Linked DNA regions of Elephas maximus indicus. The protein of the gene in region 2 interacts with the protein of the main gene of each other region in a pairwise test. Links are inferred from orthologs where the notes say so. Each region holds a gene or a part of one and is shown on either strand. Other genes may lie near its edges.

The links.
Region 1: the proteins of IGF1R (region 2) and YWHAB interact in a two-hybrid assay, tested with the Homo sapiens proteins (2 studies listed by IntAct). The link is inferred for Elephas maximus indicus from reciprocal best matches to the Homo sapiens genes IGF1R and YWHAB.
Region 3: the proteins of IGF1R (region 2) and KCNIP3 interact in binary tests that used the Homo sapiens proteins (3 or more experiments, as listed by UniProt). The two-hybrid records come from large-scale screens. The link is inferred for Elephas maximus indicus from reciprocal best matches to the Homo sapiens genes IGF1R and KCNIP3.

Annotation. Positions count from the first base shown.
Region 1 is NC_064843.1:24,489,499-24,497,270, forward strand, and holds the start of YWHAB (14-3-3 protein beta/alpha), read right to left. Parts: upstream 3,007-7,772; 5' UTR 2,848-3,006; intron 1-2,847. UniProt on the Homo sapiens protein: Adapter protein implicated in the regulation of a large spectrum of both general and specialized signaling pathways. Binds to a large number of partners, usually by recognition of a phosphoserine or phosphothreonine motif.
Region 2 is NC_064831.1:90,260,745-90,268,708, forward strand, and holds the start of IGF1R (insulin-like growth factor 1 receptor), read right to left. Parts: upstream 3,084-7,964; 5' UTR 2,914-3,083; intron 1,773-2,913; exon of another isoform or gene 1,091-1,772; intron 976-1,090; 5' UTR 669-975; coding exon 575-668; intron 1-574. UniProt on the Homo sapiens protein: Receptor tyrosine kinase which mediates actions of insulin-like growth factor 1 (IGF1). Binds IGF1 with high affinity and IGF2 and insulin (INS) with a lower affinity. The activated IGF1R is involved in cell growth and survival control.
Region 3 is NC_064835.1:89,148,831-89,155,790, forward strand, and holds the start of KCNIP3 (calsenilin), read right to left. Parts: upstream 3,059-6,960; 5' UTR 2,954-3,058; coding exon 2,939-2,953; intron 1-2,938. UniProt on the Homo sapiens protein: Calcium-dependent transcriptional repressor that binds to the DRE element of genes including PDYN and FOS. Affinity for DNA is reduced upon binding to calcium and enhanced by binding to magnesium. Seems to be involved in nociception.

The DNA.
Region 1 (7,772 bases), on a different chromosome or scaffold from region 2:
GCACTTAACCACTGTGCCACCAGCGCTCCCTAGGGTGGAGATATTTCCTCCCAATAAATTATATATTCAAAAATAGTTAAAATTCCTGTTCAAACACATCTATTTTAGTAGAATACATGCAGAGAAAAACTAAGGACTAAACGGTGTTCACAAGAAGAAAATGCATGTGTTGTTCTACCACACTTAGAAATCTATCATTCCCTGGAGCCAGACTGCCTTGGTTTGATTCCTGGCTCCAGCACTTACCATCTGTGTAACCTTGGGAAAATTATTTACCTTCTCTGTGCCTGCGTTTCCTCTTCTGTAAAATGAGGCTAACAGAGTTATCTATTGTTGGGTGTTATAAGGACTGAGTTTATATGTGTAAAGTGCTTACAGCAAAGCTTGTCACATTGTAAGTGATAAGCGGTAGCTATGCCTGATGCTACCTCATCGGTTGATAAATAAATCCCAAATAGATGGAATGCATACATACATCTACCTACATACATGTTTCTGTGTGTTTGTGTTCATGAATACATGATCGAATAACATCAAACACTTACTACTATGTGCCAGATACTTATTTTAATTATTGGATTCGCCGCAACAACCCAGCTAAGACTACATTACCATTCCCGTTGTACAGATGAGAACATGGGCTCGGAAAGACCAGAAATGGTATATACAAAATAAAGTTCTACAATAATATTTTTTGAAAGCAACATGTGTACAAGAGGGTTCGGTTTCATCAGGTTACAACTGAAGAAAAAAGCCATTAGCAGTGAACACTGTGGTTAAAAAACAAAACCAAAAGCTTATATTTAACAATTTACAGGTTGTAAAAATGCCTCATGGCAACTCTGCAGATAGGGAAACTAAGAACCAGAGATTTAAGTAATAAGCTGAAGTTCACACAGCTAGAAAATGCTGCAGGCAAGACCTGAATCAGATTTCTCTGACTCCAGGTTCACTGCTCTTTTCGCTTCTGTATCCACACAGCCAAATGGGCAAAACGCACTTTTTGCAGTTCCAAATCTCCGGAGACACAGCCTAGGGAACTAGCATCATGGGAATTTGCCCAGCCTGTTTTATGGAGCCTGCCTAGCTGATCTATAGAGCTCCAATTCTAAAATGGCTTCAACTTAACACAGGCACTGCATGATGGGAAATGTACAGAAGATTATAGGGTAGGAGCCATACTCCTGGGACTGACAGTCCATAAATATTTGCTACCGATGAATGAGGATATTCAATCTAAAAACTAGGTGTGTGGCCTAGGCCAAATCGCCTCATTTTTCATAAAGACTGCATCTGTAAGATGAGTGAATGGTTTCTTATCTCACTGAAACGAAAGATTAGGAAAATAATTCAGCAGCTGCCACTGGATCATCAGCCTTCCGTTTTGAAAGCCACACTTAAATTCTCACTTGTGTCCAGTAAAACCGATAGGTTTTCCCCTCACCACAACATGGGCTGCTAAGGGCATGAATTCTAGAAAAATGAGGGGCTCAGACCACTGATATCCATCCCCAAAAAAGAAATGGGTGTACTAGAAGCAGTCAAGAAAAAATTCATTAAGGACTAATATTTATAAATTTCCAAAAGGAAAACGCAAAAAGCTAAGTAGCCGCATACATATCCAATTCTATAAACAGCGTTATGTTCTATACACTGCATCCGAACATTTGAGACAGAGAGAGAAGTCCAGACGATTTTCATATTCTTACAAGCCCTTCACCTTTCTGCTTTGGCTTCTGTGGCTGTCTGATTTTCTATGATCATGACATCGTCTTGCCAAATTCCATCTCCCACACAGGCCAAGTAAAATCAGAGCTTGATGCTACCTAGCCTTAACAAAGAGAAATGCAGTGAGGGCAAGCACAAGAGACATGATTTTTATCGAAAGGTTGGCAAATTGTCTTACCAATACTGCCACCTTTGAAAGCCCCGTTACGTGCGAGTTCTCCATTTGCAATAGACAAGGGTGTATTTATTTTCTGAAAAAAAGGGGCACAAATCATGTCCACTCCTTCCTCACCACCAGGGAGGCCACCAAGCAAATTTCAGACCAAAAAACATGCTCTCATACAGTATGGGGGAATTTCGGGGGAGGACACAAAATACCTGAGCATTAAATGAAGGTAAATGCTGTGGGAAAATGCTTGGATTCCCAGCCTTTGATAATTTTTTTTTTCCCCCTGGGGATTCCACCTAACTCAGTAACCGGTTCCAACAAATGCATTTTCTTAACTCAAAACCTCAGCCCAGTGCTTCCCGGGTTAATCTCGGGTCCTCCCAGGCTCCATAACCAATGAACGACGATGAAATGGCTTTACTGCAAAGTGGGAGGGGGTTTTCCCCCCCGCTGTCTCCCAAGGTTAAACCCCTTACTCATCCAAAGAGAGTGATGCACGGGCCCCGGGGCTCGAGAACTCGCCCGTATTTGGTTATATCTCAATTTTTGGAAACCGGAAAACAGGGAGGAGGAGGTGATAGAGCTGAAAGGGGCCGCTCTCGCCGCCTGCGGCGAAGGGAGGGGTCGCGCGGGGATCGGAGCTGGAGAGGGAGGGCCCCGGGTCCACGGTCGGCGGTCTTGGCCGGCTCAGCATGGAACCGCACCCCGCCGCCAGGGCAGGGCAGGGCCGCAGGAGGCGAGGGAGGCCCGCGCCGCTCGAGGAGGCAAAGGGCCCGGCCCCGGAAGCAGGGAGGGGCCGCGGTGAGAACAGGCCCGCACCGCAGGCGGCCGCGCGGGACCTAGAAGGCCGCTCGGCTCTCGCCGGAGCCCACCCGCGCGGCCGCCGGAGCCGAAAAGGAGCCTCAGGCTTGGGTTCCCAGGGGCTTTGGGCGGACCCGGCGCGCACTCACCGTAGGAGGACTGCAGGCAGCAAAGACACTTCCCAGCGAAGCTCAGAGCGCGATGACCGCTTCCTTCCCAACCCCAATTCTCAGGCGGCGACGGCAGCGGCGGCGGCAGCTACCCCGGCTCCGGAATCGGCGGCGGGTGGCGGCAGCTCCACTTCCGCTCCGGTCGCCACTTCCGCTCCGGCCCAAGCCCCTCCCCGCCCCTGCGCCGTCTCGTCATTGGGCGAGCGGGGCACGGGGTTGCACCGGCCTCGCGGGAGGGGCACTGGCTGGAGGCTGGAGGAAGGGGAGCGGGATGCAGCTGGGCGGGGAAGTGCGGTGGGCCTAGGGTGGGAGCGCGGAGGAAGAAGGGGAAGGGGACGGAAATGGGGGGAAGCGAGGGGCGCGGGAAGAAGAAGCGGGAGGGAGGGTAGAGGGCGGAGCTGAGAGCGAGGGTCGGAGAAAGGGATCTGTGGGAACAAGGACAGGGAGACGGGACTGGGTTTAGGTGGAATGGGGGCATCAGGGTTATTCTCTCTACCTAGGCTGGGAATTCGCCTGGACCAGCCCAGAGACTCCAGTCATCGGTTCCCACTCCACCCCAAAGTAATCCTCACGAGGTCGGAGGCTGAGGCCCATCCCTTTTTCCTGTGTGCTTTGAAAAGGCAGGACCAAGTGAAGAACAGAAATTGCTCATCCCCTAAATTGTCACTTAATCCTCCCTTCACCCTATCAAGGTGCTTAATTCCCCCTTTCATAAACGGAAGAGGCCACGTAAAGCGCCAGGTTTCGATGGCGAAGGTCGCAGTGCGTGCGATCGCTTCACTGAGATATCCCTCCCCAAGGCTCGGGGAGGAAGCTTAAGAGAAGGAAACGGGCCTCCCAAGGCTCGCAACTCCCTTGACAGCTCTCACGCAACATTCTCTTCCTCCGAGGCAGGTGACCCTTAAACCCAGTTCTTCAAAACTCCTCTTGCCTGCGTTCCCTCCCGCTTGTTCATTTTTTTCAACAAATATTTATCAAGCACCTACCATATTGCCAGGTATTGTGCTTAGCGCTGGGGACGTGGCAGTGAATAAGACACACGGGAGTTTACAGTCGGGTAGGAGAAGGTAAAAAGTAAGTAGGCCTCCAAAGTCTCTCCTTTAAAAAAAAAAAAAATTAACCAGTTCCCCATGTGTATCAGAATAGTACTGTCCTCCATGTCCTTTACCCTTTTTTTTATAGTGATAACCACCTAATTCATTACCCAGCCATGCACTCATCAACTGCCAGAGTGATATTTTTAAAATGCTGTTCTAATGCGTGCTTTCCTTGCTTAAATCTTTTGGTGACTGCTCAGACCTAGAAGACAATATGTAAGCTCCTTTAGTGTGACAATCAACCTTCTCCAGAAGCTGCCTTACTTTCAGCCTTTACCTCCTATTTCTCCACGTCTGAAACACCCCAGTTTTATCGGATGACCTCTTATCCTTCCAGTATGCCATGTCCAGTATTTCTAAACAGTTTGAATTAGTTGCCAATGTTTTTTACAAACAGATTTCACTTGGAAATTGGCATTTCTTCCTTGTTGGACAGCTCTGGGTCCACATTTCTGTGTGGCAATAATTGGCTGAAGCCGAAGAGTGCCCTTGCTATATTACGTATGGGTTTTCCAAGGGGTCCCCTCCCCACCTGAGCCTGCTTTCCTCATTTATGTTGCCTGTTTTGTAGGAATTTGTGTCAGTGACCCCTGTACTACCCACATTCTACACTGTTGTATGGTGTACACAGAGTAGGTTTAACTTCAAAACCTCTAAATTTGAACCGTAGTGAGGTTTCCTAGTGGAAAAACCTCTCTGGGGATCAGTCTTTGGCAGCCAAACACCAGTAATCCCGAGGCTGCTCAGATTGAAGTGTTAATGTCACATGACTGTACCTCATGCCCCCATCCAGAAAACAGCCTAGTGGGCCAGAGGACTCAAGCTGATTACTCCCACAAATGACGTCATCAGTGCCTTGAGGGAAGAGAAGTGTCCTTTGCCGGGCATCCCTGGGTGCCTGCAGATGTTACATGGATTAGCTCTTTTCACCAGCTCTGCATTCTAGGCCCAAAAAGGCCAGGTGTGGGCAAACAACAGCCCATGGGCTAAATTCTACCTGTTGTGTGCCCATCGAGTTGATTCCGACTCATAGCGACCCTATAGGACAGAGTAGAACTGCCCCATAGGATTTCCTGGGCTGAAATCTTTACAGGAACAGATCAAAATAACAAATTTCCAAGGCTCTTCTCTCCGTGGAGCAGCCGGTGGATTCAAACCACCAGCCTTTCGACTAGCAGCTGAGAGCCAAACGATTATGCCACCAAAAAAAAGCTCCCTTAAATTCTACCTAGCGCCTGTTTTTGTAAATAAGGTTTTATTACAACACGGCCTTCTCATTTGTTTACGTATTGTTGATGGCGGTTTTGGTGTTACAGAGGCAGAGTTGTTGCAACAGAGACAGTATGGCACATAAAGTCTTTTTACTATTTGGCCTTTTATGGAAAAAGTTTACTGTGTTTTCGGTGAAGGTATTCATTTCCTAGGGCCCATGTAACAAAGCACCATAGATTGGATGACTTATAAGAACAGAAATTTATTGTCTCGCAATTCTGGAGGCTAGCAGTCCAAGTTCAGGGTGTCGGCAGGGCCATGCTCTCCGAAGGCTCTAGAGGAAGACCCTTTCTGGTCTTGCTCAGCTTCTGGAAGTCCCAGGAGTTCCTTGGCTTGAAGCTGTAGCATAGTGCCATTGTCACATGGTTGTCTTCCTCTTGTCTATGTTTCTTCTCTTTATGTGTTGTATAAAGAGGACACCACTCAGATTGCATTAGAGCCCCCCTACTCCAGTATCGAGGGTACTGGGTGTTTGTTTTTGGGTACTCCAGTATGACCTCATGTTAATTTAACTGATAACACCTTCAAAAATCCTGTTTCCAAACAAGGTCACATTCATAGGTAACTGGGGTTAGGACTTCAACATATCTTTTTTGGGGACACAATCCAATCCAAAACAGACATTATTATGTCTGAATATGAAGCTCGGAAATGCTGCTGCCTCCTTGTTAGCAGCCTGATGATGATGCAGAACAGAGCGGTAGAATCTGCGTACTGGATAACAGTGATAAACTTCTGAATTGACCAACCCTTTTTTAAAGACTACGGTCTTTCTAGACTTGCTCGTACGTGAAATAACAAATTTCCTTAAAGTTTAAGTCACCTTGTGGCAGATTTTTTTTTTTTAATTTAAAGTTGAAAGTGTATTATCTGATAGGGACACAAAAGAGATATTAAAATATAATGTGGTAAATGAAAATCATGGAAATATATATGTGCGTGGTCTTATAGAAGCCTGGGTAAAGTTTGGGGATATATTAGAAGATCAGGAAAGATTTGCTAAAAGAGGTGATACATGAGCCTTAAATTCCACAAAGATTTTTTATTGAGTCCAAGGCAGTATTAAAAAAGAAAAGTGGCAACATTTTGCATAAAGGAAAAAGGTTTTACAACAGTTAGTAGGTACCCAGCTCACCACCATTTTGCATCCCCACCAATGATAGATAAGGATTCCAATTTCCCCAGATCCTCACCAACGTTTGTTGTTTCCTGTTTTTTTTTTCTTTTATCTTGTCCATCCTAGTGGGAGTGAAATGGTATCTCATTGTGATTTTGATTTGCATATCTCTGACGGCTAATGATGCTGAGCATCTTTTCATGTGATTGATGGCCACTTGAATGTCCTCTCTGGAGAATGTCTATTCAAGTCCTTTGCCCATTCTGTGGTTGGGTTATTTGTCTTTCTGTTGTTAAATTGGTGAAGTTTTATATATATTTTGGTTGTTGTTAGGTTCTTGTTGAATATATGGTTTCTTAAGATACTCTCTCAGTTGGTAGCTTGTCTCATAAGAATAAACTTGAGACAGCTAGTGTATTTCCTTTCTTTTTCCTTCCTTCTTTTCTTCTTTTCTTCTTCCTTCCCTCCTTCCTTTCTTTTTCTTTTTATTATGATAAATTTCAAATAAACACAAAACTAGAGGGTACAGTAGAAAGTACAGTAAACCACCAGGTATATCCATAATCCAGCTTTATTTTACTATTCTATCAATTTCTCACATTTTTGCGGGGGAGGGGGCAGGAATATTTTACAGCAAATCCCAAACATATCATTGCATTCATAAATATCTTAGTATGTAGCTCTAAAAGATCAGTTTTTTTAAAAAAAACATAAGCATAATTCCATTATTACACTTAAGGAAATTATTAATAATTCCTTACTTTTTTTTCCTGATTGTCTCAGAAATACCTTTTTTATGTTGGTTTATTCGAATCAGGATTTAAACTAGGCCTTCATGTTGCATTTGGTTGCTAAATCTCTTTTAATCTGTAGTAGTTTCCCCTCCTCCTCCTTTTCTTATATAATTTATTTGTTGAAGAAACTGTGTAAATTATTTTACAGAGTTTCTCATAGCCTAGATGTGTTTTTTTTTTTTTTAGATGTGGCTGATTGGACCCTAGTGGTGTTTTTAGAATGTTACACTATCTCTTATATGTCTTGTAGACTGGTACTTAGATCTAGAGGCTTGAGTAGATTCTGCTTCAATTTTTTTGGTACGAATATTTTATACATGGGACTGTGTATTTCCCCTGGCATCATATCAGGAGACACATACTGTCTAATTGTTCCTCAGTGATCTTTTCAGCATGAAAACCCATTTCCTTTGGTTCTGGGATGTTGTAAAATATTTCTTTGACGATTCCCTCCCTTCCTGTCCCCATTTTCTATATTTTCACTTTCTGGAACTTCAGTTATTCAGATGTTTGGCTGTCTGAACTGGTTCTTTAATTTTATTATTCTTTTTTCCTTTCTTCTGTTTTTCATCTTTTGTCTTTGGCTCTACTTTCTGTATATTATTTTTAAACCTGCCGCCAGTC
Region 2 (7,964 bases):
CGCGGGGCACCTCTCCCTCCAGGGCAACTTGCACCCAGCGGGCCGGGCGGCTCCCCGCTCCTGGCCACCGGCCCCCGCGTCGGCTCCAGCAACGAGGGTGCGGTGCGGCCGCCGACGCTCTCACCGCTGCCTGCGCGCCGCGCGGGGCCAGCGCTGTGTGCGGAGCGGCCCCGCGCGCCGGGAAGGGCGAGGTGCTGGAGGCGGACCCCGAGGAGCGTGGGGCTGGCCTCGCTCTAACTTCCCCAAGGAGCCCCGCGCTTGGCCCAGCCAGCAGGCCGCCGCGGAGTGAGCGCTGCGGAGCAGCCGGGCTAGCGGGGCAGGACTCTTGGGACGGCGAACGGGAAAGCCACGAGGCTCTTCCCGAGCGGGATGCGCTGAGCCAGGGCCCGCGGGCTCCAAACTCCCAAGCTCAGCCCCGGGGCCGCTCCGGCTGGGCCCTCCGCGCCCCGCCCGGCCGCTCCCGGGCCCGGGGGCCGACAGCTGCGACGGTGGCAACTCGGGTTTCGCAAACAGGGCGCAGCCCCTCGGAGGAAAAGTTCCCGCAGTGGCCGCGGGCGGCGGGGCCCATACTCACTTTCTCCACTCGTCGGCCAGAGCGAGAGCGCCGCGGAGAGGAACAAGAGCCCCCACAGCGAGGTCGGGGACCCTTCTCCGGAGCCAGACTTCATTCCTTTGATTTGGGACGAAACTCCCCTCACTCAAAAATAAAAAGGGGGAGGGGGAAGGAAAATAAAAGTCGCCAACTCAGTCTTCGCTCCCTCCTCCGAAAACCAGGGCGAAGGAAACAAGAATCCGAAGGCGGCGCCGGCCGTGAGAGCCGCGCGGGTTGCGGTCGGCGGCGCGGGGTTCGCGCGGCCCCTTAGCGCCGGCAGCCGCGGCCCAGGGCTCGGTGGAGTCGGGAACCCGAGGCGCGCCGGGCCGGGATGTCGGCGTCGTCGGCCTCCATTTTCAAACCCAGAGGCAGAAAGGGGAAAACTGCAAAGAGAGGGGAAAGCCCAAATGAGTCTTGGCGAGGAAAAACCAACCCAACCCGAGGCAGAGCGGGAGCTGCCCGACGCCCGAGCCCCCGCGGCGGGAGGGCGCGACGCACTTCGCAATCTTCCCCCAAGTCCGGGTCGCGGAGAGGCCGGCGAGGGGCAGAAATGCAGAGCAGAAATGAATGAGACGTCCCCCTCCTCCTCCTTCTCCTCCTCCTCCTCCGCCGGGCTCGCTCGCCGCCGCCTCCTCCCTCAGCGCCACCGCCGCCGCCGCCGCCGCCGCCACAAGCTCCTTCCCAAATCCAGGACACACACAAAGCGGCGGGCCGGCCGCGAGGCGCTCAGCACTCCCGCCGCGCCGCCCGGGCCCCGCGCCGGCCCCCGCCCCTCGCCCCCGCCCTGCGCGCGGGGGGCTCCGGCTCGCTGAAGGTCAAAGCTGCGGCGCGCGGCGCGCCGTGGGCTCCCCTCGCCAAGGAGGGGCGTGGAGGGCGCGGGAGGGGGTCCGGGAGCGGGGCAAAGGGTCTGCGGGCGCCGGCCGCGGGCGCCGGGGCAGGCTCGCTGGCAGCGTCCCTCTAGCTCGCTCGCCCTCTCTCGAGTTCGCCTGGTGCGCTCGCTTCTCCTCGGGGTTTTTCCCCCTTTTTTTTTTTTTTTTTTCCGCTCAGCGGAGTTAACGCTGGTAAACAAGAGCCTCAGCCTCGCCGCGCCGCTGCCGCCGCCGCTGCCACACACTGGGGGCTCGCGCGCGCCGCCAGAGCCGTGCACACGCGCCCGCGCGCACACTGGAGCGCCCACAGCCGCAGCGCGCCGAGGGCCCGGCCCAAGCGGCACGCGCCAAGAGCCGGAGCCCGGGATCCCGGGACGTGCGGAGCGGAGCCGGGGCGTGGGGCGCCAGTTGGCAAGGCACCGCCCCCGCCCCCTCCCGCGCCGGCACACACGCGCGCGCGCACACACATACACACAAACACGCGCGCGCGCGCACACGCTCTGGCCCCCACCCGCACTGCGCCGGCTACCCCGCACGCGCCCTCCCCTCCCGCAGGATTCCAAAAACAATGCCCCCGGCGCCGGCCCCTGCCCAGCCGAGGGGGAGCCGGGCGCCGAGCCGAGCGCAGGGGAGGGGGCGCGGTGGGCGGGGCGCGCGGGGCCCGGAGAGCTTCATTGAAAACAACAACGGCGCGGCTGGAAAGCGCGTTTCCCGGTTCTTGAAAAGCTTCATTGTTTCTTGCAGCTGTTGCAAAATAAATAAATAAGTGCGTGCATGCGGCATTTTTTCGCAGTGGGCTCCAAAGCCCAACGGGGCGGGAGGGGGCACACCTGGCAGAAAGGGGACCCCGCGCTACTACGGCGGACACTTTCACGCAATGATGGGGACGGCCGCGACGTCGTGGCCGGGGAGGCCGGAGTTTCGGGGTCCGCGAGCGGCTGCGGTGCAAGGGCGCGGCCCCGGCGGCTCGGCCGGGGGCGCGAGGGGAGCGGGCCCGCCGCCCGCCGCTGACCCCGAGCCGGGCAGGGGGGCCCCGACAGGCGGCTCCGCGTGCCCAGGGCGCGTCCCGCGGCGGCCGCCAGGGGGCGCGGCGGGCACCAGGGAGGGCCGGCCGGCGCCGTGTCGCCTCCTCCCTCCCTCCGGGGGAGGAAACGCGGGGGCCCGAGCTGGGGGTCCGCCTAGGGGACGGCGGGCCGGGTCGCGCGAGCGCGGCCTCTCGGCCCGAACGCTCCCCGCGGCCTCGCGCTTCTCCGGGCTCCACCACGTGGGCGGCTGCCAGGAGCGCCCGGGGCGCGCGGCGGCTCGGGGCTGCGGGGCCCAGGGGCTGGGGGGCGTGACCGAGGGGTCCCGGGAGTGGAGCTGCCGGGCCGGGGTGCGTCTCCGGGCTCCGGTCGGGACCCAGGACCAAGCCGCACACGCCCGGCAGGATCCCTGGCCGCTGCGGACACTCACCCGCACCTGCCTCCGGTCCTCCTGGGCACGTCTCTCTTGCTCGATTTGCTACGTAAGTGACTAGGTACCAGCACCAACTCCAAGTCGCCTCCGTGGTTTTCTGGAGGAGAGGAGAGGTTTTTCCGAGGCGAGACTGCCCTACCACTGCCATCTAATGAATAACTGCTGCGGAGCCCAGGTCCTCAGAGGGGGACAGCGCAGCCCTGGCAGGAGGAAGAGTTTGAAATGCGTGGACTTTTAAAAACAGGGATTGGACCACGTGTCGCCTTTAATGTGGCCCGCTCATGACTCAGGCTAATTGGTGTCAATAATAAATAAGAAGGAGATGGCTAATAAAAGAGTTGTGAATGTCTAGATCCACTAGAAGTGTTTTGTCTCAAAAGCAATCACGGTTGGGTAAGGGGGTTTGTTCTAAAGGAAAGGTGGGTTTTTTTCTATGACTCTAATTGTAAAAGGTTTCCGCGTGACGTTATGCATCCTGTCATTCATGTTAATTTTGAAATTGTTAAGAGCTGAAAACAAACCAAAAGCTATCATAACGGAAACTTAGCCTTATTTTTCACTATATTTATTCCCTAGATCATTCTTCCTCTTGGAAATTTTTCGTTCAATTCAGCAAGTCAGTTGTATAGAAGGGAAATAAACCTTTTTTTATTTAAGAGAGTTATTCATTTGAGATTGTTTTGTTTATTTGAAATTCAACTTAATTTTTAAATAAAATATTTTAGTGTTAGGTGTTCCTGGATTTTAACAAAGAAATATAATCATAAAAAAGAAACTTAAATTTGGCATATATCAATTAAAATTATAAACTGAATAATTAGAATTTATGCTGCTAATTTCTAAATATTTCTTCAGAGATTTTCAGCTTGAGGTTGATCTTCATACCTATAAATCCACTTTGGTGTTAGATGTAAAGCAATATCAATATTATGTGCTTATTATATTTAGTGCCCAGAATTTTTAATAGATACTTGTAAATTACAACAAATTTTAGAGCCTACTTTTTAAAGGCTAATATAAAACCTTTAATTCCTACATAATATATTTTTAGTGCCTATTGAATTATTTCTAAGAACATAAGGAGGAATATAAAGAGAAATGCATGCAGTTAGCTAAATTGTAGGGTTTAGTTTTTTTTATTCAAAACAATTTTTAATTTGTGAATTTTAAAAATTATCTGTTTTCTTGAAGTAGTGGGAAATCAATAGGATTAAGGTATTTTAGAAAGTGTATTTAGCTTAGTATTTTAGTATATTTTATATAACTTAGGATTTTAGGGAAAAATCAAAATGAAGGTGGCAAAAAATTTTGGTTGAAAATGCAAACTAATTTGACCACATGAACAAAGAGGGTGATTTTTATTTCTTCAGTTATGCTCTACCTACCGAAGTCAAACTTCTTTTTTAAACCTTGGATTAAAAAATCACATAGAAAAAATTTAATTGTAATCTTTGCTTTATGACTGCATTAACAATGCATCACACTTTTTGTTTTTCACAATTTTCCCCAAATGTCTTATTGATGCCCCCACTTTTGGAACAGAAACAGGTTACTTGTTTTCATTTCTTAAAAACTCTGCTTATCTGAAATTATCTTTCTAAACATACCAGACTCTCCCAAACTGTAACACGTATCAAGTAAAAATATGAGAAACAACTAAATGACAAGTGATATATTGTGATATACTCCCAGAATGGAGTGTTACTCATCATGAAAAACTAATAGACTACAAGCTACACACAACATGGAACACAATGTTGAGTGAAATAGGCAAGTTCCAGAACATTCTAAATGGCATTTTATAAACCTCAGAAACAAACAAAACTAAAAATATATGATAAAAAAATTTTTAAGCTAGGAAATTAAATATGTGATAAATTTTTGTTTGTTTTGTTCCAGCAAGAGGGTGAATGAAGGACCCAAAATTCAGGATCGCAGCTGACTCTGGGAGGAGGAGACAGGAAAAGCCCATGGCCATAAACAATGATCTTGGAAAAGCTCTCATTCTTGGGGATAGTGAATTTATAGATTTTGTTTTAATTACTTTGCTTTATAACTAACACATATGCTATACATATTTGGAAGTATAAAATATTAAAGAAGACAAAGAAAAATAAGAGATTCATGAAAGAGATCATCCCAGTTTTCTGATGATTCTTCCAGATTCCAAGCTGTTTGTAGAAATAAGCTTGGAAGCGTTGGAGAACTACTGGAGTGATAAACACTTAATCTAGATCTTTTCCTTAAGGATACATTTGAGAAGAATGTGTATCCATATCATATCAATGCAATTTAAGACACAAACAAATAGTGGAACAAAAAATTTTAAAATAATTATTGACTTCATAGGTAATTGAGTTAATTAATTAAGAGTGCATTACATAAGAACAAACAAATCTGTCTTGGAAGAAGTACAGCCAGAATGCTCCTTGGAAGCGAGGGTAGCAAGATTTCGTCTCATGTAATTTGGACATGTTATCAGGAGGGAGGAAACCCTGGTGATGCAGTGGTTAAGTGCTACGGCTGCTAACCAAAGGGTCGGCAGTTCAAATCTGCCATGCGCTCCTTGGAAACTCTATGGGGCAGTTCTGCTTTTGTCCTATAGGGTCGCTATGAGTGGGAATCGACTTGACAGCACTGGGTTTGGTCTTTTTTTGGATCAGGAGGGACCAGTCCCTGGGGAATGACATCATGCTTGGTAAAGTAGAGGATCAGTGAAAGAAAGAAAGAGCCTCAAAGAGATGGATTGACACAATGGCTGTGACAATGGGCAAAGATTGTGAGGATGGCACGAGACCAGGCAATGTTTCATTCTGTTGTACATAGGTTCACTATGAGTTGGAACTGACTTGAGGGCACCTAATAATAACAACACGTAAACTACGTGGCAGTTTCCTATAATGTTAAACTTATGACCTAGCAGTTCAACCCCTAGGTATTTACCCAAAAGAAATGAAAACATATATCCACAAAAATATCTGTATGGGAATGTCCATAGCTGCTTTATTCATAACAGCAAAAAACTGGAAACAACCGAAATGTACATCAAAGGGAAAAAGGACAAACAAATTTCGACGTAGCCATTCAATATGATACTGTTTATCGATAAAGAGGAACAAACTAGTAACACATCCAAAAACATGTATGAGTCTCAAAAGCATGATTCTGAGTGAAAGAAATCTGACACCAAATAGTACACATTGTATTAGGCCATTTACATGAAATTCAAGAACAGGCAAAACGGACCTGTGAGCTAGAAACCAGAACCATGATTACCTCTGGCAGAGGCAGAGGGAGGTGACTAGGCACAGAGAAGAACAGAGAACGTTCTAGGATGATGGCAATGCTCTGTATCTTTTTTTATTTTTTGCAATGCTCTGTATCTTGATTAAGGAGCTCTGGTGGAGCCATGGTTAAACGCTTGGCTGCTAACTGAAAGGTTGGTGGTTCAAACCCACTCAGTGGCTCTGAGGGAGAGAAACCTGGTGTTCTACTGCTGTAGAGATTAAAAAAAAAAACCTTCGGGGCATTTCTACTCTGTCACACAGGGTTGCTCTGGGTCAGAATCCACTTAACAGCACCTAACAACAACACATCTCAATTGGTGTGTTGGCCAAACTAAAAAAAAAAAAAAAACCCTTTGCTGTAGAGTTGCTTCCAACTCCTAGTGACCCTATAGGACAGAGTAGAACTGCCCCATGGGGTCTCCAAGGAGCGCCTGGTAGATTCGAACTGCTGATCTCTTGGTTAGCAGCCATAGCTCTTAGGCGCTACGCCACCAGGGTTTCCGTTGGCTATATTTGTGTATGTATTTATCAAAAACACAGAACTATACCCTTGAAATGGGCACATATCATATCTCAAAAAAATAAAAATTGAAGAGTGCATTATGTAACTTAGAAATGTTGCAGCTGTTCGAATAAACTGTAACGTAATTCTTCTCATTTTTTCTTACGTGAGTGTATGTAGTAGAGATGCTCTCCTCCAACCTTCCCATCCGCAGCTGTGTCTTTAGAAGGATGGACTTTTCAGAGGTGTATCTGCCTCAGGTGCCCTGCAAGAGGCTTTAGCTGTGCAAGGTGCCAAAGAAGAGGTTTCCACGAGTGCAGTCCAGGAGCAGACAAGACACGAGTGATGCACGAGTTGGCTCCAGTCCAACATAGCCACAAACAATGTGAGTCTCTATCTCCTTGAGATCTGTGTACACTCAGCTTGACAAGAAACTAGCTCTGCAGAGATAGACAGCTCACAGGGCCAAAATGCTGACATTCCTCCCGGATACTTCAGAAGCAATGTGGAGGTTTCTGAGAGCATTTGGGCAGAAATAGCCAGATTGATGTCTTTTGTGACTACTTTCAGCACCGTGTTCAGCAAAACATCAATAAGGGAAGTCCTTGGAAAACCCAGGCCTTATCCCGGAGTAACAAGCATGCTTGGGACCTCTATAGACTCAAGGTGCAGACTGGAAGCTTCCCATCTCTGCACCAATGCTCTGGGCATGGGCCTCCACAGACGGGCATGAGCCTGTGCCAATGCTTTAAGGGTGGGCATGGTGGACTCCCCCACATGGTCATTAAGTACTGTTAGGAGTGCTGGCATTTGATTTGTTGGTATTGATTAAGAATATGACTGTACTATTAAGTGCCAGAAGAACAAACAAATCAGTCTTAGAAGAAATACAACAAGAATGCTCCTTAAAAGTGAGGATGTCAGGACTTCACCTTGCTTACTTTGGACTCATCATCGGGAGGCACCAATCGCTGGGGAAGAACACCATGGTTGGTGAAGTAGAGGGTCAGCAAAAGAGAGGAAGAGCCTAAAGGAAATGGATTGACACAGTGGTTGCAACAATAGGCTGAAACATAGTGACGATTATGAGGATGGCACACAAGCAGGCAACATTTTCTTCTGTTATACGTAAGGTTGCTATGAGCTGGAGCTGATTTGATGGCAAATGACAACAGGGAACGCTGTAATAGTGCCTCTGTCTGTGTCACTTGTCATTCCTGGTGGTCCGTCTCTGAGATGGGTGTGCCCTTTTAAGTCTT
Region 3 (6,960 bases), on a different chromosome or scaffold from region 2:
TTTGGGGGTAGCCATGCGGCCCAGGGAGAAAATGCAAATGAAGCCCCGGCCCAGAACCTGGGGTGTCTCAGAATCCATGGAGGGCCTGCCCGTCCCCCAGACTCCACCTGGAGACCAGAGGCAGGGCCACTTCCCTCTCCCACCCCAACCTTGGGCCCCAGTTACCATCTTTGCAAATAAAGGAGCCAATTAAGGTCCCTCTCCCACAAGAAGGCTGGCCGCTGGGCAGGAAGCAGTTTCCAGTGGATTTGCTGCGCGGTGAAGACAATAGCCCCTGACCTCTAGTGTGGAACCTGCGGTTCTGGTTGTTCCTCCCTTCTAGGGCCTCACAGAGTTCACTGCCTCTTTCTCTTGGCCTTGGGCTCAGAGGTCAGCCCCCCTTCCCCGGCAGCCCCCCTTCCCCGGCAGCCCCCCTTCCCCCTTCAGTGCCTGTTCCCAGCTGACTGAGGTTTCCCTGGAACAGGTGTGTCTGTCAGCTGTTCAGCCCACGGCCTAGCACACCACAGAGCAGCCATATGACAGGCAGAGAACCAAGGGGCCCTGCAGGCTCCAGAGTTGGGGGGCTGACTTGAGGGGGTCCCGGTGCTGTGCTGGAAAGCAGCTCCCCCTCTCTGGGCCTCAGGGTCTCCAGAATGGACAGAGGCACTGCCTGCCTTCCAGGGACGTTGTCATGTTTGTGACCGACAGGGAAGTGTGTGGAGAAGGCCGAGGGGCTCAACACTGTGAGGTGTTATTGGGGACAGCCCCTGACCACTACACCCATGGGGATGTCCTGAGTGACAGGCAGCTCTCTGTGTGATCGCCAGCCTCTGTTCTGAGTGCAACCCCTGCTGCCATGAGAGAGGAAGTTGTTTCACACTCCCCAGCTGACCTGGTGAGGGACCCTGCAGTGACTTCCCACTAGGGCCACTGTCCCTGCCTGGCCCAGCACCAGGAGATACGGGACCCGCTCCCACCTCTGATCAGGCAGCCACTGGAAGGCAAATGGCAGGATAAGGCCCAGCTAGACCCACTAGGGCCCGGGGGGCACTTAGTGCTGGTGGTGGGGGAGAGTGGATGCACGTGGTCGCAGTGGCCAGCTGTACCTGCAGGACTTGAGCCCCTCACTCTGCTCATTTAGCAGGGGCAGGGATGGCCAACCTCTGAAGTGACCTCTTGGCAGTCAGAGCCAGCAAGGGGAGGAGCACGGTCGTTCCGTGTGGTGGACAGAGAGCTGGCTGTGTGCACGTTTGTATGAACACCCCCTCCGTGCACATGCATGTTTGTGTGGCACAGGTCAGACTGTGGGCACGGTGGCAGGGCGTGTGTGAGGGCGTGCTTCTGTGGCTATTCGGTACACACTCACAGGACATTCAGAGCCGTGAGTGCATGTGGCCTGTGCTGGGTGGGGCATGTGTGTGGCGAGGACCTGAGTATACTAGGTGGGGTGAAGCTTCTCTCAGGCTCTGCCCTGCCTATCCCCTGGCAGCTGCTGAAGGGACCTACCATAAGAGGAGAGATAACCCCACCACTGTATGCAAAGGACTTTCAAGCCCATCACCTCTGTCAGTCCTCCCAGCACTGGGGAGATGGACCAGGCAGGGAAGAGGTGGCCTGGGGTCTGGGGCAGATTCTTTGGGTAGCCTGAATGCAGCTACAAGCCTGCTCCAGACTGCTTGTCCTCCCTCCTGGGTTTCTCAGGGACAGAGACTGCAAGATGCCAGCCCAGTGACCATTCTTCCTACTCACAAAACAAACAAACAAATTAGAAGCAAACCCGAGCCAGTTACCGTCAGCTCTATCTCACGTGTGCAGAAGAGAACCACTCCATAGGTTTTTAGTGGCTGTGATCTTTCAGAAGCAGATTGCCGGGACTTCCTCTGTAGCACCTCTGGTGGGTTCGAACTGCCAGCCTTTTGGTTAGCAGTTTAGAGTTTAGCCATTTGTACCTCCCGGGGACCCTTCCTTACTCACAAGACTGTGGTTTGATCTGAGACGGGTCGGGCCCCTTTGCCCTTCCTTCTTTCTCCTCCTCGGCGCCTGCACTGCCGGCTGGGGCTCCGGCAGCGATGCTGGAGCTTACCGCAGCCTCAAGGATGGGAGCCAGCACCGGGATCGTAGAGCCAAGAGACAGACGGAGCCCTGCAGCCTCGCAGAGCCTCCATGCCAGCTCCCTCTTGCCTGCCTGCCTCCCTCCGACTTCTGCTGGGGGAGAAATGCAGGCACCCTTGTTTAAGCACCATTATTGGGGGGTTCTGCTTGAGCAACCGGACCTAGTCCTGGAGCCCTCTTCTTGCTTCCAAAGCAAGACTGTCCCAAGCATGCGGAAGCTAGCAGGCCTTCGGGACAGATCGAACCCTCTGCGGGGCTTCAGCTGATTTTCCTCTCCTTTGTTCTTCCTCAATCAATTCTTCTCTATATCCTTTCCCACCCCCACCGTTACTTCTTGAACCTCACTCTATGCCAGGTGCTTTCTTTGCAGCGTGTCTCCAAGCTCCCAGTAGCCCCAGAGAAAGGACCATTAGCATGTTAGTTTCTCCCAGCCCTTTTGGAAAATGAGCATTCATTAATTACCTGAATGGTTCATTAAATGATGCATAAGACACCCCCTCCCAGCACTCACGACCCCCTCAACTCTAAAGGCTGCAGGGCCCAAGCTCCAGGTCAGCTGCCCTGTCACCTGCCTCAGGGACATAGCTGAGCAGGACCAGCCACGGGGCGGGCCCCACATGCCTCCTCTGCCCAGCTTCTTCTCCTAAACACCTAAAGTCTCTCCCATCCCAAGGAGGCCCCGGAGTTCACCTCCAGCCAGGACACCCAACATTCCCTGTCCCCAAAGCAACTCTACAGGTACAGCAGGGGGTGGGGTCCAAGAAGGAGGCATAACAAGGCTACCTGGGTCCAGGGCAGCCTCAAGAAACCCCTATTCCCCACTCAGGTGAACCCCGCCAGTGCCTACCTTGGCCCGCTGCATCCTGGACGCTGAAGGGAACTGTTGCCGGCCTCCCCCCTCGAAGCCAGCCAAGGAGAACGGGACTGCCGGCTGGCAGCTGCTTCATGTTTGCTGGACCAGACGTGATTGTCACTGGCAGCTTCTCATCCGCCCCCTGCCCACCCCTCCCTCCTTCCCTTCCTGCTTCTAACTGCTCCACCCCTCCACCCCCCTGCTCTGCCTCCCCCTTCCCTCTCTCTCTCTCCTTCTCTCTCCCTCTCTCTTTTTCTCGCTCTCTCTCATGCACACACACATATTTACCCCCCCATCTTCTGCCCCCCTCCCAGAATCCATGTCCCAATTGCTCTCTGTGGATACGGCTCCTGGTCCTGACCTCTTAGCCCATCTGGCTTTCCTGGCCTCCCTCCAGTCCTGTCACTGGCTGTCTCTCCCTGTGCCTCTCCCTGTCTTTTTCTTTCTCTAACGCCCCCACACCCACACACACATATGTTCTGCTCCTCCCCTTTCTCCTCTTGGTTACCGCCTATGGGAGAGAGAGGTTGTAGGGGGCTCCAGGGCACATGTTCCTGCCCAATGTGGGGTGGGAGCATGGGCGGCAGTCCAGCCTGGAGAGCCTCCTGGAGGTATTTTGCAGAACACGCTATACCCTCCTCTACTCCCTACCCCTCCCCCTGACTTATGAGCACCTCCTCATAGACGGGGGCGGCGGTGTGGAGCAACCCTCTGACCACCTCAGTCTCAGGGTCCCTAAGGGCAGCTGGGAGCTGTTGAGGTCCAGATGGGAAGCTGAGGCCACAGAGAAAGACCCGGCTCAGGTATGAGGACAGGGTCTCCCCTGTGCCCCTCCTGCCTCCTGGCAGACTGGTCATCCTCTGGCCACCCTTGGCTTCTGCAACATCCTCCCCATGGGACCTTTCTGTGGGTGCATGACTCCCCATTGGCCTCACAGATGTGGGCTCACAGCCCAGAGAAGGTGGTGGCTGCCAGGGGCAGTATCACACAAGTGGCTCTCAGGTCTCCTGAGGACTCGAGTTGGTCCACACCTGGGTCTCAGGTCTGCAGATGGCATGTGGCACAGCTGAGGGAACACCCCATCTCCTGCAGGGGCAGTAGAGGAAGGTCGCCAGATGGCACGTGGTACAGTGAGGAGCCACCCCATCTCCTGCAGGGGTGGTAGAGGAAGGCTGCAGGGCCCTAGGCATCCTGGGGAGAAGGGCTCCTTCTTGCATCCCAGACAGGCAGTTCTTGTTGGGCATTTGCTCAGCCCCTGGGAAACCACCTAGAAGTCAGGTGCCCTGCACCCTCCACACCTTCCGCACCCTCCACCAAGTTTCCCTTTGCAGTGCCCAGGGGAGCCAGCTTGTGCCACCGGTTCCCATGGAAACAGAGCCCTGTGACACCCTTCCCCCATACTGTGTACAACAGGAGCACACGTGCACACACGCCCATCTCTCTCTCTCTGTTTCCCCAGCCAGTTAGCTCCAACTTTCAGACCCTCGGGGGGGAAATAGCCTGGAGTTATGGACCCACCACAGCAGAGGAGGAGGCAGGCAGGCAGCCCAGGCATTTGTCCCCCCTGCACATCCAGGACAGCAGGGGCTCCGGGGACCGTGAACCCCAGCCCAGCTGCATCCTGGAAAGCCCCTCCTGCAGGCTTTACCACCAGAGGCCAAGCTCCCCGGAGCTGTTGGCCGTGGAGAGAAGGGGTCAGCTGGGGGGGGCGGTGGGGTGGCACTGCCCCACCTGGTCTTCCTCGAGGTGGCCCAGGGACGAAGTTGTCTAATATCTCACTCTGTAGACAATGACAGTGAGATCCAGAAAAGTTAAAGGATTTTCCTGGGGTCATAGGCTTCAAAGTGACAAAGGCAGGACTTAAAGCCTGCTCCTTTCATTCCAAAGTGAGAACTGTGGGTAAGATCTCCCCCAGCCAGTTCCATACCCAGGTTTCATATACCCAGCTTGAAAACACACAGGTAATAAAGAAACATGCTTGGTAAAGACACCAAGCTTGGTAAAGCAGAGGGTCAGCAAAAGTGAGGGAAGCCCTCCGTGAGATGGACTGACACAGTGGCTGCAATAATGGGCTCGGACATAGCAACGATTGTGAGGGTGGCGCAGGACCAGGCAGTGTTTTGTTCTGTTATACGCAGGGTCACCGTGAGTAGGAACCAAATCTACGGCCCCTAACAACAACAAACAATAAAGAAAACTTACCTATCACAGTTTCCAGGGCAGGCCTGCCCTTACTCGTGGCGATGGTCTGAAGAGAGTGGACTAGAGAAGACCGCCCCCAAACCAGCACCACCCTGTGTGGAAAACCATGCACCCTGCCACTTGGCTCGCTCTCTGAAATTCCACTGTTAAGAGATTCCTTCTTTGGAGCTAACAAGCTGGGACAAAATGGGCTGAGGACAATGGCCCCCCTTCCCAGGCTCAGCAGGGAACCTGCCAGTACAGCTGCCACCCAGGGGTTGCTCCTCCTAACACACAGATTTGGGGAGTGTGCGCTCTGCTGTGTCCCTTGTCCACCACCCCCTGCTCCATCCATGCCTCTTGCTTCCTCACTGCCTTCAGGGTTTGTCTGGAACCCAGGCACTTCCAGCTGGCTCCTCAGCTGCCTCCCTCGGGAGGAATGCAGGCCTGTTCAGCGGATGTGGTGTGGGCACATGTCTGTCGGCAAATCTTCTCAGGAGAACCTTACATTTTCCAAAGAGTTTTTGGCAGAGTATCAGACCCAAAAAAAGGTTCAGAAAGGCTACAGGAGGGCCTCACTTGTCAGCCGCAGATGTTTCAGTCTGAGGGGTTTCAGCTGTGGTTTTCCTCCCACAGGGCAGCGGGGGAAGGAAGGGATCGTTTCAAGCCTGGGTGCGGAGTGAGTTTCCTTATGTTACAACGTCCAGTACGAGGCATGTTGAGAGGGGGCAGTGGCAAGCCATTGCAGCTGGCTAGGAGTCCCTGGGTGGCACAGTTAATGAGCTTGGCTGTTAACCAAAAGGTTGGAGATCTGAGTCCACCCAGAGGCACCTGGGAAGAAAGTCCTCGTGATCCACTTCCAAAAATCAGCAAGCGAAAACCCTATGCAGCGCAGCTCTACTCTGACACACGTGGGATCTCCATGAGCTGGAATCAACTTGCTGGCAACTGCTTTACGTTTTTTGGTGTTTTTTTTTTTTTTTTTTTTTAGTGACCCTTACTCTCACGCACCCCCAGGCCCTTTCTTTGGTTGGGTCCTGGCCCTGCCCACACCTGGCTGAGGCCCACAAGAGAGAGAGCTATTAAACAATCTCAGAGTTTGGACCGCTCGCCTGTGAGGAAGCCTCCATGGAGTGGAGATGGGTCTCACCACTCTTGTCAAGCCCTCTTTTCACATGAGCACAAGAAACTCCTGTTGCCCCGAAGAAGCCCTCTGCTGGACGCCACAGAACTCGGAAAGTGTCACCCGCTGCTGACCCAGCACAGCTGTGGAACTGGGAAGCAACCAAGTTTCTCTATTCCACTGGCCCTTTAAGACTACCTCTCACGAGCTGGCCTTCACTCGGCTGGACGGAAACATGGCAGGCCCAGGATGCTTCCTGGTAGGGAAGCACAAACGGTCACTTCACATCCCACAACAGTCTCATCCCATGTCCAGGTCCATGGCATTGTCAACTCCCTTGCTCTGAAGTCAAAGCTCCTCCCAGCCCAGCATGGACCTGGTGGGATGGGGTCAGGGGCTATGGTCAGCCTCCAGCTGAAACTGTTTCTAGAACTGCTCTTTGGGGTTGATAGAGGTTTCAAGCTACTTCTTCTTGTGGTCACCTTCAAGGGTCCTCAGAGCCTGGCCATTACCGGAAACCTCCTTGCCATCTCCCTGACCAGGGCATTTCACATGGGCCTCAGGGAGCCAAGAAGCCCTGACACCACGGCACCTCAGCCTTCTTTCCGTTGAGGTCTGTCCACTCTCCAGGAGGCCTCCTAGAAATAGCCTGAGAGACTCCACGCCAACTCTCTCACAAAAGGCTGTCACGTGGGCTGTGGAAAGCAAGTCT